Cricetulus griseus: one gene and its partners. The protein of the gene in region 2 interacts with the protein of the main gene of each other region in a pairwise test. Links are inferred from orthologs where the notes say so. Each region holds a gene or a part of one and is shown on either strand. Other genes may lie near its edges.

Evidence for each region.
Region 1: the proteins of Hax1 (region 2) and Sav1 interact in binary tests that used the Homo sapiens proteins (3 or more experiments, as listed by UniProt). The link is inferred for Cricetulus griseus from reciprocal best matches to the Homo sapiens genes HAX1 and SAV1.
Region 3: the proteins of Hax1 (region 2) and Il1a interact in binary tests that used the Homo sapiens proteins (3 or more experiments, as listed by UniProt). The link is inferred for Cricetulus griseus from reciprocal best matches to the Homo sapiens genes HAX1 and IL1A.

Annotation. Positions count from the first base shown.
Region 1 is NC_048598.1:133,417,317-133,421,043, reverse strand, and holds the end of Sav1 (protein salvador homolog 1), read right to left. Parts: coding exon 3,632-3,727; intron 1,135-3,631; coding exon 927-1,134; 3' UTR 820-926; downstream 1-819. UniProt on the Homo sapiens protein: Regulator of STK3/MST2 and STK4/MST1 in the Hippo signaling pathway which plays a pivotal role in organ size control and tumor suppression by restricting proliferation and promoting apoptosis.
Region 2 is NW_023276806.1:64,554,376-64,559,795, reverse strand, and holds the start of Hax1 (HCLS1-associated protein X-1), read right to left. Parts: upstream 3,490-5,420; 5' UTR 3,350-3,489; coding exon 3,297-3,349; intron 2,751-3,296; coding exon 2,494-2,750; intron 2,342-2,493; coding exon 2,154-2,341; intron 503-2,153; coding exon 451-502; intron 322-450; coding exon 215-321; intron 95-214; coding exon 4-94; intron 1-3. UniProt on the Homo sapiens protein: Recruits the Arp2/3 complex to the cell cortex and regulates reorganization of the cortical actin cytoskeleton via its interaction with KCNC3 and the Arp2/3 complex. Slows down the rate of inactivation of KCNC3 channels. Promotes GNA13-mediated cell migration.
Region 3 is NC_048599.1:49,260,382-49,265,756, forward strand, and holds the start of Il1a (interleukin-1 alpha), read left to right. Parts: upstream 1-2,269; coding exon 2,270-2,316; intron 2,317-3,403; coding exon 3,404-3,452; intron 3,453-4,608; coding exon 4,609-4,837; intron 4,838-5,375. UniProt on the Homo sapiens protein: Cytokine constitutively present intracellularly in nearly all resting non-hematopoietic cells that plays an important role in inflammation and bridges the innate and adaptive immune systems.

The DNA of each region.
Region 1 (3,727 bases), on a different chromosome or scaffold from region 2:
GTCCTATTTTGTACTTTGAACTACACCCATAGTAATGGTCAATCCACCTTATTCCAGAAATGTGGTGATACTTTGTTTATGATCTAACAAATAAAGCTTGCCTGAAGGTCAGAGTACAAAACTAGCCACACTAGTTAGCCATAAAAGCCAGGCAGAGGTGGCACACATCTTTAATCTCAGCACGTGGGAGACAGAGACAGATGAATCTCTTAGTTCAAGGCCACCCTGAGATACACAAAATTGATCCAGCCAAAAGAGAAACAGCTCACACAAAAGTGATCCCAGCACTTGGAGTGACATGCCTTTAATCCCAACACTATAGAGGAATAAAAGGCAGGAGGAGACAGGAGCTCAGTACAGTCTGAGTCAGTCTGAGGATGCAGTGCACTCTGAAGACCGAATCACACTTTCCGTCTGAGCATTGGTACAGGTAAGAACTCTCTACTGGCTGGCTGCTTTGCTTTTCTGATCTTCAGTTTTCACCCCAATATCTGTCTCTGGGTTTTTATTATCCATGCTACACAGAAAGTACACCACAATAAGCAACTTTTCAAAGCTGTGTTCTCGCCCTGTTCCTTTTTCTAAACAAGAAGGGTGTATTCCATAAGAAGGGTGTATTCCATAAGAAGGAGAATGACTGACTGTGCAATGCCTGGGTATGATGATGCTCTCTTCCTGTACCCCTTTTCATCAACAATATTCAAAGCAGTTTCTTAATATACAGCATTTGGAAGCATATGCCATATTGGCGCTTTAAAAGATAACATTTTTGGTTCAATAAGAGAAAAATTTGGTAACAAAATATATGTAAAACTAGAATTTTATAATTCCAAATAGTAAGTTGCCTTTATTAACCAAAGTACTTGTTTGCAGTCATTTATCTGAAACTATTTTAAAGCTCTTATAAAACTTGGATTGTGATAAAGTTAACTTAAAAACTTCTTCCCATGCTGCTGGGCATACCACTGCTGTCTCTGCTTGCGATTTTCCAACTCAGTGAGAAGAGCCTGTCTGTAGGCCTCGTACATCTTAACAATCTGCTCCAGTTCCTTCATGAAGAGCAACTTCAGCATTCCCTGGTAGGTGTCCAGGTCAGCCAGCTGGAAGAGCTCCCACTTCAAAATGTGGTCATATCTATCATAAAACATATGTTCATAATACATAAATGTGCATCCACAACAATAAACTGATATTTTTATAGACATTGTATTATAAGTAAACAGCCCACAAGTTTTATTTTAAAATATTTAAGTTAGTAAAACTTGCTATTTAGATAGCCTTTTTTTGTTTTTTTGAGCTGGGGATCTAAGCTGACCTTGAACTCTTGGGCTCAGGATATCCTCTTGCCTCACTCTCCTCAGTAGTCAGGAATATAGGAGCATGCTAATACACATGGTTCTAAATATACTACCTTTCCTCTTCCCTCTCTTTTTAAAATTCATTTACATCTTTTTATGTGTATGAAAGATTTGCCTGCATGCATGTAAGTGTCCTGTGTACATGCCTGATACTCAAGAAAGCCAGAGATTATGTCAGATCCCCTGGAACTGGAGTTACAGTTTTAAGTCACCATATGGTTCCCGAGAACTGAACCAGGGTACTCTACAAAAGCAGCAATCACTCTTAACTGTTCTCTCTCTAACCCTAAGTATATTTTTTAAAACTTGAGAGAATTTTTTAAAGATTATTTTTATGTGTATGGGTATTTTTGCCCACATAATGTGTCTGTGAACCACATGCATGCTTGGTGCCCATGAAAGCCAGCAAAGGGCACTGGATCCCCTGGAACTGGAATTTCAGACAGTAGTGAGCTGCCATATGGATGCTGGGAACTGAACCTGGGTCCTCTGCAAGAGCAGCCAATGATCTTAACAATCAAGCTATCCCTCCAGCCCCAAACACACTATTTTTTAAGGAAGGGGGGGGGAACTGTTAGATATTACTTCAGATTAAAGAGTGCCCATTTAGTTTAAGACTCAGTTTTAATATTAATCCTGGGCAATCATTAATACCAACTCCAGACTATAGTGGTTCTGTAATTTTCTTTTTTTTTTTTTAAAAAGATTTATTTATTATGTATACAATATTCTGCCTTCATATATTCCTGCACGCCAGAAGAGGGCACCAGATCTCATTATAGATGGTTGTGAGCCACGGTGTAGTGGCTGGGAATTGAACTCAGGACCTCTGGAAGAGCAGCCAGTGCTCTTAACCACTAAGCCATTTCTCCAGCCCCTGGTTCTGTAATTTTCAAAAAGCACATCCCATGCCCTTATAAGTTCATACAAAGTTAGTGTTGGGGACTTTCAATACTTCAGACTACACTGTGCTTTCCAGTAATAATGCAGAAAACTGGGCAAAGTCACTGGTGTCCTCAATGCTGACAGATATACATGAGGGACACTGTTTACTACTGTAAACAATGAACCAGAAAAAGAGGATGAATCACTATTTGTAGGCCAAGTATTCTTGAGGAGTAACTACAATTAAAACCCAGGAAAATAGCTTTGGAGAGCTGGCTCAGAGGTAAGAGCATGCACAGCTCTTGCAAGGGACCTGAGTTCAGTTCCCAGCACAGCAGGTGGCTCACAACCCCCTATACCTCCAGCTGCAGGAAATCCAATTCTTTCTTTTGGACTCAAGCACTGTACATATGTGTGCACAATTACATACACAGAATTAAAAATCTAACAAAATTCAAGAAGAACTCTCAAAATGAGAGACTAAATGGGAGAAAAACTCCACAATGTGTGACACGTTCTTATGTGTATCTTGGAAGGCCTCTAGTCTTCCTTTAGGGCTTAAGTGGCTCAGGATGAGTTGGAACTACTAAACCAACTACTAAGGTAGTAACTTAAACTTTGAAAGGGACGAGAACAAAAGGCACCAATCTAATTCAGTTTTCTTATTTGCAGATGAAAAGTCTGAGAGCTTTAAAAAAAACACCTAATTATAATTATCTCTGGCAAAAAAATGCTTAGTGACATAACAGTTTTCAGAAAGGCAGGGTTCTTTGGACCAAGAAGCTTTAGAATTACAGTTTTCAGGGTAAATGTCCATTATTAGAGGAATGTGAACACAGCAAGTCATATACCTATGTTATGTTGACGTCATACCTCAAATCACTGCAGGGCAGACATAAAAGGAAGTTTTAATTACAAATTCTAGTGGATTTAATAATCATTTATGTTCTACCTAATGGGTATATCCAAAAGGCTCACCCATCTAATATACAAATATATATAGCTTCAAAAAAAATAAAAGATACTGAGCAGTTATTGCAAGCTGCCCAGTGCAGCACACGGTTCCAGCTGTTTTGGGTGTGTGTGTCAGGGACACCAGCAAAGCCATAGGAAAGCATTTCACTGGACTTCTATTCTGTTCCTTGAGGACTGGAAGCTCACTAACACAGGACTACTTTCTTTGCAGAAACCTGGATATTCTCTTTTCTGGGCAATCTAACTCCTTGTGAACAGGAACTAGAGTTGCACCAAGAAGCAGTCACAGCTCAAGTGTTTCCCAGAAATGCTGTCATAGAGATCCACCTGCCTCTGCACTCAATTAGGCTTGGTTCTCCTTAAGTTGAGCTGGTTAGAGACCCCAAAGATGCTGGTTCTGTGTGTTCACTTACTTCACAGGGGCTCGGGCATAAACCTGAAGCCAGTCAGGGATTTCTGCAGTATGATAAGGATTTGCAGGGACCAGGAGGGACTGATTCCTTTCAGTT
Region 2 (5,420 bases):
TACCACTTCTGGAACTGTCCTGTGCTTCCTGATGGGTCACTGTGGTCTCTCTCCGTCCCTCACTGTCTACCACAGTGCGGTGCTCCTCCACTACCTGCAAGAAGTCCCAACATACTTTTAAGGCTACTATGTTGAGTTTAGTGTTTTCTTACACAAGCCCCTCCCTCATTCCAGAGCATTCTCAGGCCAGTTTAACTCTTCTCTCTCAACTCACCCCATCTGGCTTAGTGATCTTGGTCACAGAGATGCTCTTGAAATAGGATTTGGGTTGGGGTTGAAGAAGTGGACCGAGACCTTCCTGGGAAACCTGGGAGTCAAGATCTGGAATGGCAGAGAGATAAAAGCCAGAAGACAGTGGAAGGAAGAAAACAGGACAAGTATGTGAGGAAGAAACTTCTGAGAGAACTTTAGGAGAATGACATGGTAAATGTGCCCTCCCTCTAGACTCACCATTGTCCTCTCTGGCTCTAGAATGGGGAGTCACAGGCCATATATCATCCAACTGTAGAAGAAGCCACACATAGTTGGTGAAAAGACACCTTCTGATCTGAAATCTGAAGGGTCAGAGACCCCAGACTCCTCCTAAGTTCCAAAACCCCAGAAACACTTCCATTCGGGCAGCTTATGTTCACACAGCTTCTGTAGTCGAATATGAACTTTTACCAAATAGGCTTCCTAAAATACTTTCCTGCATCTTCAAGACTGTTTTTTTTTTTCAAGACAGGGTTTCTTATCCTAGAACTCATTCTATAGACTAGGCTGGCCTCAAACTGACAGAAACTTGCCTGCCTCTACTTCCCTAGTGCTAGGATCAAAGGTGTGCACCACCTTGCCCTGCTCAAGATGCCCCCCCCCCACCTTGGTGTGTGTGTGTGTGTGTGTGTGTGTGTGTGTGTTCGTTCCAGGCAGGGTTTTTTTGTCTAGACAGGTTGGCCTTGAACTCAAGGAAATAAGTTTGCTTCTGCCTCAGGAGTGCTGGGATTAAAAGTGGGCAACACCATGCCCAGCCTCAAGACTACCCCTACCTTGAGACAAGGTTTCTCTGTGTAGCTTTGTAGACCAGGCTGGCCTGGGCTCACAGAGATTCGCCTGCCTCGGCCTCCCAAGTGCTGGGATTAAAGGCGTGTGCCACCACAGCCCAGCTCTCAAGACCCTTTCTTAATCAAGAATTGTAACTAGCAATTAAAAAAAGCAGAATATTTACATTTCCCTTTTGTATTCTATGCTCCTGTATTGCAAATGGAAAACAGAAACAAAGGGGCTAGAAAGACGGCCCATAGATTAAGAACACTTGCTTTTTCTGGGGATATCAAGCAGCTCAGAGCTCCACAGGATTCAACAATACCTCAACACTGCAGGCACTCATATGGTACACAAAAAACTCAGACACACATACGCAAAATAAATAATTTTTTGTTTTGTTTTGTTTTTTGAGACAGGGTTTCTCTGTGTAGCTTTGGAGCCTATCCTGGAACTTGCTCTATAGACCAGGCTGGCCTCGAACTCACAGAGATCTGCCTACCTCTGCCTCCCGAGTGCTGGGAATAAAGACATGCACCACCAACGCCCGGCTAAAATAAATAAATCTTAAGAACAACAAACAGCAACAAAAAACCAAACAAAGAAACTCAGGGCCAAGGGAGGCCAGCATGGTCTACATAGCAAGTTCCAGGACAGCTAAGGCCACAGAGAGATCTTGTCTCAAAATACATATATAAATAAAATAAAAAGAGAGGGCAGGGGGCACTATTGCAGAAAACCATAGTGTATAGATCCCAGCATGGTGGTTCTCAATCATTATAATTGGAGTTCCCGGGTATTCGATGCCCTCTCCTGACCTCTATGAGTACCAGGCACATGTGGAGCAAAAACATGCTCCACATGCACTGAAAAAAACAGTCCTACATAAGAAAAAATAAATAAACCTTAGGCTAGGTGTGCTGGCACATTTTAATCCTGATGCAGAGACAGGCAGATCTCTAAACCTGAGGCCAGTCTGGTCTACACAGTGAATCCCAAGTCTCAAAACAAAAAGCCCAACAAAGAAGAAAATCCAGACAAATGCACTAATTAGAGGGGCTAGAATTCTAACTCAACTCTAAGAAATTCCAGTAAGAGTTGTAGTTACTGCACTTCAGGTGCAGAGTACTCACCCTATGAAAAGGTCCCTGAGACCCCCAATCTGGAGCTGGTTTGGGGGATTCAGGTCTTGGATGACTCTCCATGACCCCCTCAAAGATCCTGGGTTGGTGACTGTCTGGGTACTTAAGCATTGAGTCCCGAAGCGTCTGCCCTTCCCGCGGTCTCTCACCAGGTGTTTCTGACCCATGACCTGGAAGTTCTGTAAAAAAGTTGGCTGGTGATACTAGGATAGGAAAGGGCTTAAAACACACAAAATCTTTTTGAAATCAGCTTTAGCATATCCCCAACTACTCTGCAAGGTCCGTATTTCGCTCCCTAACCCAATATTCTCCCTCAGGAGAATCTACACACCAGGAGAGTGGGAAGGCAAGGTCCAGGCCCCCATCTCACTGAAGATGCTATTGAAATCTCGTACTAGATCATCAAAGCCAAAGTTGTCGTGGAATCGCATGCCTTCTTCTGGGCTGAAGTTGAAACCGAATTCCTCCGGAGGCTGAGAACCATCAAACCTATAGCTCCCTCGACCCCACGTGCCTCTGTCTTCTTCCTCTTCGTCATCATCATCGTCATCATCTCGAGTCATCCCTCCGAAGAAGGGATCTCTGTGGCTGAGAGCAGAGGCAGATAAGCCACGAAGATTTCAGCACTGTCTAAGCAATAAAACCAACCCAAGGCCAGTAAAATGGGGACAAAAGGTTGGGGTCTAGGTAGCTGAAGAAAACACTGGAGAGCTCCCTTCCAAGTCAAAACAAAGCTCGTGGATCTATTAGGGTTTTGTATTGTCTCTAATTAGAGCCCATGACAACCCCCGCCCCCCACACCTCGCAAACGCCTCCCGTGGCTTGTCTTCAGTGTCTGACTGCGCACTCCTAATTGCCCCTTAAGGTCCCTCTCACTTGCTCATTCCCCAGGCCCCCATTGTCTTCTCCGCCCAGCTCCCTGTTGCATCACCCCACTCTGGAGAAAGGCACTGTTTCTCTCCTCTTCACACCGCTTTGGTTACTGTGGCGTGGTGAGTACTCAAGGTTGAGATTTCTATCCTCTCAGCAGGAGTTGAAGGGAGCGGGGAAGGAAGCTTTCCAAAAATACGGTGAAGGGGTCAAGCGTCCCCAAAGAACACCGCTTCCTCAGGTCCAGCCCAGAACTACGCTCACCTCCGAGGTCCACGAAAGCCGAAAAAGCCCCGGAAAAGGTCAAAGAAGCTCATTCCTGTAGGTGCCCTAGAAACTTTAAACTTCGGCAGGACATGAGAACCACTCGACTGCCAGCTTGCGCTACCCTGTCAGATACAGCCAGGGTTCAGCATTCGCTGCCGGAAAGCAAGTCTGCAACACGGCATTGTCGTAAAAAGGCCGAAACCCGGAGAAGGAAGAGGCGGGGCTGACGGCGCTCCTCCGACGCGAAGCTTCTTATACGCTACCTTTCAGTTTTGAGTGAGGGTGGGCTTACGGATCCCCGCTGTCCAAGATCACACCCCTTCTAGTGATTCTCTTTCCCGCCCATCTGCCAGTCCCCAAGGGGTGTTTCCGTTACTCTCTGGATGGTTCCAAGTTAGCCGCCAAAGGGAGCGGCCTGTCCCGAGCCCCGCCTGGACCCCGGCTCAGAAAACACCCCCACTTTGTTTGTTTCTAGACTGATGTGACGTCCAACACTACAGGTTGGGAAATGTTTTACTAAGCTCCTTCCAGGGCAATTTCCCTACTGCTGGATAAAGACATGAGGATGCTAGGAATCTCTTCAGCTACTAAGGAGTTAGTTCGGGCCATAAAAATTTATTTTAAACGTGTTTATTCGACACACGGTTTCTCTGCTGTCCTGGAACTCTATAGACTAGGCCTGCCTCGAACTCAAGAGATCCACCTGACTCTGCCTCCCAAATGCTGGGATTATAGGCCGTTGCTACCATGCCTAGCTACTCTTTTAAACTTTTAAAAAAACAGACTACAACCAACAAGGTAAGATTTATACTAGGCAGGGAAGAGTAACTACTGAAGCATCTTGGAAAAGAACAAAGACTCTATAGTTAGAATCAGTGGTGCAGGCTCAAGAGGCAGAGACCGGTGGATCTCAGTATGAAGCCAACCTGGTCTACACAACGAGTTCAATGCCAGCCTGAGCTACATGAGACCTGGACACACCCTCACTTCCCAAGCCATACTTGCAGTTTGGGAAGTCTGAAGCCGAACGAATCTCTTGAATCCTTGGCAATACGGTAAGTCTCAGGCTCTTCTAAAGAAAATAAAACTCCCCTTCCCATGTAATTGAGGTTCAAAACTTTTTACCACAATGCCCCACCACAGGTCTTGCTCTACATCATCCAACCCTTTCCCAGAAATTGGGCATTTCTAAGGCCACATAAAATAGGCAAAGCAGGGTATGGTGTTTGTTGAGAATCTTTAACCTCATCACCTAATAGGCAGAGGCAGGCAGACCTCTGAATTTGAGATCAGCTTGGTCTCCATACCAAGTTACAGGCCAGCCAGGGTCACACAATAAGACTGTCTCAAAAACAAAACTCAAGGAACAAAAACTACTGCAGTCTACTTCTATAAAGGGAAAGCCGCTTGAGCTTTAGTTCTGCCAGCCAACAGATAAAGTTGGCTTCAGACTTCAAAAATCCCTTAAAATCATGCTTATATTCCCAGTTCTTTTCCTTTTAAACATCCATATTCCTTCCCCCTTCACTTCCTGAAACTTGATGTAGTTGAGGCAGTTTCTAGAAGAAAAGTTTTGTAGTGGTTCTTTCCAGTCACAGGATATGAAAGAGAATCCCCCTTATGGGCAAAATATTAGCACATTAAGGTGAGAGTTCTTAAAGGGCAAAGATTTCACTTTATTCCACAGCCTTCGAGCCTGCTAGAAGAGGCCCAGTTGGTACGGTAATACTTATTCACCAAGCTGGTCATCGACGAGAGTGAGGATATCCTAGACGGAGCAAGAATGGGCAGAGGCTGAAGGTAGAGGTTTGTTTTTTTTCTCCTTTTTTTTTTATATATATATGTATATATATACAAGACACATTAATCCATTAAGTTTGAGGACACAGTACAAAAAAAAAACCACTTCAACTAATTCATATGACAATGCTGTTCATATTTATGACGCCATTTGTTTGTGTGTTGTTTGGTATTCCTAATAATAAAGGAGGAGACTTAGGGCTGTTGGGCTAATATATATTTGGGGGCGGGGGTTCACCTCCCCACCTCACCCATACACCACCAGGGTGAATAGGAAGAAGTGAAGGAAAGGCAGGGCCCACAGCAAAGTTTCATAATCTT
Region 3 (5,375 bases), on a different chromosome or scaffold from region 2:
TGTGAACTAAGGCATCACGGGGATGACTCTACAGACTCTCAAGTGACTGACTGGGGCCGTCATTAGTGTCATTATTTGTGTTTAGTTGCATCTCCATAGCAGCCCACATTCACAATGCACCTTGCATTTGTTTCTTAGTGCTTGTCCTCACACGATGGCCAATAGGCAGAAGATGACAAGATTAACATTTCTGTATTGCCTAAAGGGGAACTAAGATATGGAGTTAGCTGGCTGCTATTGATGCTCATATAAGACATGCTGAGAGACACCCACACTTCGGCTCCAATCTGCTTTGGCACTTATTCTGCCTTCATTTAGGATATCACTCATCTTTGACTCCTGTTTATAAATACAACACGAGCAGGGGCAGCAGAACTGGAATTGGAGGATCTCCATATGCAATAGAACCAATGAACATTTAAACAGCTCCATTATCTATGGTTAAGCAAGACCACAGGGGATACTTCATCTAACCCATAAACTACTGTACTCCTAGTCCCATGCTTCTTTTTGTCGAATGTTTCAGTGGCTTACCTTTCTCCCTCTGCCATTGTTTTTCTTTCCTCTTCTACCACCCACTACCTTTAGTTAAAATGTGAGTGGCTTTAATGCCAACTAGGAAAGTTGAAACCTGATTTACTTAAAGTCAGGTGCTCTACCACCTGAACTGGACCAGCCTTAGGTACTGAAAATGTCTCTAATAAAAATGAGCAGGCAGCGCTGATTCCATGTCCATATATAAGAATCCATACCTTCCTTTCCCACAGCCTCCATTGCTGAGCTGAGCCACTGTCCTGACTGGGCCTTTGTACCTGTCTGCAGAAGCGGGTAGCTATCCTTGCCCACCTTTGATCCATCCTTGTCTTTATGTAATGGAGCAGGGTCACTTTACCATGACGTGACTGAGGCTGGGAGTTCTCCCTTGAAGCTGTCATCTCTGTGGGAAATGTGTTGACATTATTCAAAGGAGTGAGAGGGCCCAGATCTTTATGGTCAATGTCACTTTTATCACCTCTGCCCTCTAACCATAAGGCTGCCATTCCATACTCAGACTGCTGACTTACTCAAGCAAACCTTTCTCTTCAGAGGGGAGGGGTAAACCTCATTTTCCCTCAAATGCCATGACTTAGCTGCCAATTATCCTGCCCAGATTCAGTCCTGGAGCACAATAAACAAATTAGGCCAAACACAAAGTATACCCCCGGAGCGCCCATCCTACTCAGTCCAGCCCTCTGATTTGAGCATTTCTGCCTTCCTCTTCCACCAAATGCTCTGGGTGTCTTGGTAAACTTCCTGCTGCTCTTCCCCTTTTTTGTAAGACTACATGTTTATAATCATATGAAACAAGCAATAAATAGATGAATCAAGTCAACAGCCCAAGGAATCTTTGCAAACAACATCATTACCAAGTGTATGAGCTGCATTTCGGCCAGTATCAAGCTGCGTGAACATAGAAAGATACAAAGCAGAATTATTTCCTGTAAATTCCCAGTGACACACTGGCGGGGGCCCCACCTACTTGAGATGATTATAAAAGACAGAGAAGCCTGACTCAGGCATAAGTCTCCAGGGCAGAGAGGGAGTCACCTCATTGGAGCTTGAGTCGGCAAAGGTATTGTCCTTATCACATCTGAGGCTATGGAGATTGTCTTTTGTTTGCTCCTTGACTGTCTTCTCTCAAGGCACCTTCTGTAAGGCTATAGTCTGTTCTCTTTCTTTCTCTTGTTGTTCCTGATTTGGTGTGTAAGCTGGAATCACAGATTTCAGAGAAGAGCTCTCTTTCTAGTGATAAGGACCTGAGGGGGCAGCTGAACAGGATTCCTGGGAGGGAATCCATCAGTTCAGCCTAATCTTTTCCTGTAGATAGGAAATTTCTACTGACAAAAATGAGATATGCTGGTTCCCGTTCTCTATCTCCCTCGCCTCTATAGAAGGCAGATACCTCATGCAGGTGGTTTTCCTTTTTTTTTTTTTCCTTATCCTATTCACCTTTATTGAATGCCTACTATGTGTGATGGAATGGGCTGGACACAAAGAATACCAAGATAGAGAAAACATTCTAAAACAAATGTACAAGTTAAGAGAGGAGAACAAAGCTTATACAAATAATGTAAGGGCGTATGAAGAAGAATAGAGGAAATTCTGGGCATGTGATAAGTCAGCCACTCATTGTAGTTTCTCAAGAAGAGCGAAGCAGGGTCACTGCCCTTGCAAGCACGGGGTTCAGAGGTGGAGAGCTGACCACCACTGTTCTTTTGTAGAGGTCAAGATGGCCAAAGTTCCGGACTTGTTTGAAGACCTGAAGAACTGTTACAGGTAAGAAACACATTCTACTTTTTGTGATTCAATGACTCCAACTAGGTGTTCAAGTGGCCAGTCAAGTGCCATGTTGTCAGAGGCTCTGTAGATATACACTGGCTCTGAAGTCCAGTCAAGACCAGAGAAGAGCTAGAAGGATAAGACCTCCAACATGCTAAAGTGGTATTTCCCTGAGTGAAATGGGAATTTAGAAAAATATTTTTGAGGTGTACTGACTCCTACATAATCTTAAATTAACATCAACTTAGGCACTTGATAGAGTTTGTATGCTCTATACAGCAGCAGCTATTAATGAACTGTTTGAGAGAAAATTCATTCTTGGGAGAACCTGCTCCCAGTCAAGAGGAGGAAACAGCTCTTGGGCACATGAACTCATACCCACAGTGAAACTTCACCCTGATACAGAAGATAAATGAGCAGAGCTGAAATTCTAGAACATTCTTAACTAACAAGATGTTTTTGTTTGCAATTAATGTTAATGCTAATGAAGCTACAAACTAGTGCTTGAATACTGTTAAATATAGAATCTGTTTTAGTATGTGAAAACAATGTATGACAAAGTGTATCTGAAGTACTTCAAAAGTTTCTCTTTTCTTTTAGCAGCTTCAGCCTTTCCTGAAGTCCAATAAGGCTCTTTGATTTATTAATCATGCCTAATTTTTACAGATAAAGTGCAAAGCTGTTCTAATAATTACTAACTCCAAATTAGTAGACAAATGAGTTACTATGTGTGTAGACATGAATATGCAGAAGTCTTTAGCTTTTCAAAGAGTAGTGTGTGTGTGTGTGTGTGTGTGTGTGTGTGTGTGTGTGTGTGTGTGTGTGTTCGTGTGCCCAAGTTACTGTAAGGCTGACTCTCATCCTGACTGGGATCGAGTTCTCCAAAGAAAGAAGTAACTCTTAAACAGCCACTAAAACCCAGTGCTGTGTTAGAGCATTCAGACTCAATAGTACCTATGTCTAAATCAGTATTCAGGAATGTTGTCTGTATTACCAAAAGCTAATGTGGTCATTAAGATATGATGCCTACGGACCTCAGTGGAATGATGAACAAAAATACAGTCTCCTTATATGTTTTTGACAGTGAAAATGAAGAATACAGTTCTGCCCTTGATCATCTCTCTCTGAGTCAGGTAAGCATATGGTTATCATTCTTATAGATTTGGATTTTCTTTTTACATACTACCAGAAATGCAAAATGAAGGTTGAGTATTATACACTTTTGTTAAAGGTCTAAAATACATTTATTTATTATTAGTGAGATCACTTGCCTCTCTATACTAATAGTTAACTGGCATTCTTCATGCTCATTGACTCTTCCATAACAGAGAAGAAGGGTTATCTGAAGCCCTAAGAACTTCTGGGCCAGGCTCCTTCAAATTGTTAGTTTTGGCATCTTTAGCCAGTTGCTTCAATCCACCTCACCTGGACACCTCTCCTAACATGCTATGTTGACATCATTCTCTGATAGCCCACAGAACTGAGGGAGAGGAAGCTGGCTAAGAGAAAGGGAAAACGTCACACACACTCAGCATGTTATTTTGTGTATCTGTGATACCTGTTTTAAAAGCTGCTTCCAGAAAAATAGACACACCAACGGTATCCATGGGTCCTTGACTGCAAGGCCCCCTAGGGAGATCACCTCCTGCAGATGTTCAAGTCCTTTATATTAAGTGACCTTCTATTTATATAAAATATACATGTATTCTGAAATAACTTTAAATCATATCTAGATGTCTTAAAACTACACCTGCCACACTGTGAATGCTATAGAAACAATTGTTATACTTATGAATCAGTGATTATATTATTTAGGAAGTAATTACAAAAAGATTCACATTTTAGTACAAATGTGATTTAGGTTTAAAAAATATTTTGAACCTTAAGGTTAGTTTAATTTGAGCAGGCAACACAGAGGGCCAAAAGTATTTTTTAAAATATTTTGAGTACTCTGGAATAGATGTCAAACCTTTTGACAGAAGGATCTCACTCACCAGGATCACATGTTAATCTGTTTAATTAAAATTTTTTCTTTTTGAGCCTAAAGGTGGGTGAAAAGACCCCCCCTCAACCCCAGCCTTGGTTTCAGGGAAATCCAAGAATGGAATGGAGCAGAAGGGAAGGAAGGGCAGTGGAGGATGAGAGGGGAGGGAGGGATGAAGCACAGGTTGGTTCCCTACACCCAGAAGGGAGATCCGTCTCACTAAGTCTGTAGGATACAGACCCTACTAAAGAGTCTCATCATGAGGTCATAGGTAAGCGCTCAGGTGCCACTTCCCTTCCTTACAGAAATCCTTCTACGATGCAAGCTGTGGCTCACTTCATGAGAATTGCACAGATAAATTTGTATCTCTGAGAACCTCTGAAACCTCAAAGGTGTCCAACTTCACCTTTGAGGAGAGCCTAGTGATGGTGGCAGCATCATCAGACTCAGGGAAGATTCTGAAGAAGAGACGGCTGGGCTTCAATCAGGCCTTTGCTGAAGATGACCTGGAGACCATAACCCGCAATTTAGAAGGTAAGGGATGAAACATAACAAAAATCCAATTTTTTAGTTTTAAGAAAATGATGATAATGAAGTAGAAAGAAAATAAATCTTGGAACCAAAATAATAGGACATTAGGTCAATAACTATAACAAAGAAAGATTAAATGCTGCTCTTCTCCAGAAGGGAGAGATCAATGGTAACCTGAGTCTAGAACAGTTGTTGAAGGGTTCCTTTCTTGGCTGTATTATAAAGGTCATCCAAAGGTCTTTGGTTGGAGAGAAAGCAGTCACAGTCCATTAGCCCATGACCTCTACTAGGTTCCATCTCCTTAGTCATGATCCTCCGTCTCTCTGGGCTTCAGTTCCCCATACTGTGAATAGAGATGACCAAGTCTTACACCTCACTGGGTTCCTGTAAAGATTAAAGAAGCCAATACCTCAAAACATTTAGACTAGAAGAATGTCTAATGTGAAGTCATCACCCAAGAAATGTCAGCCATTGTGATTACTCCCATTGCCTTTGTAAATGATGCAACACTACTCATTTATTGATGGCTGCACTCTCTGTA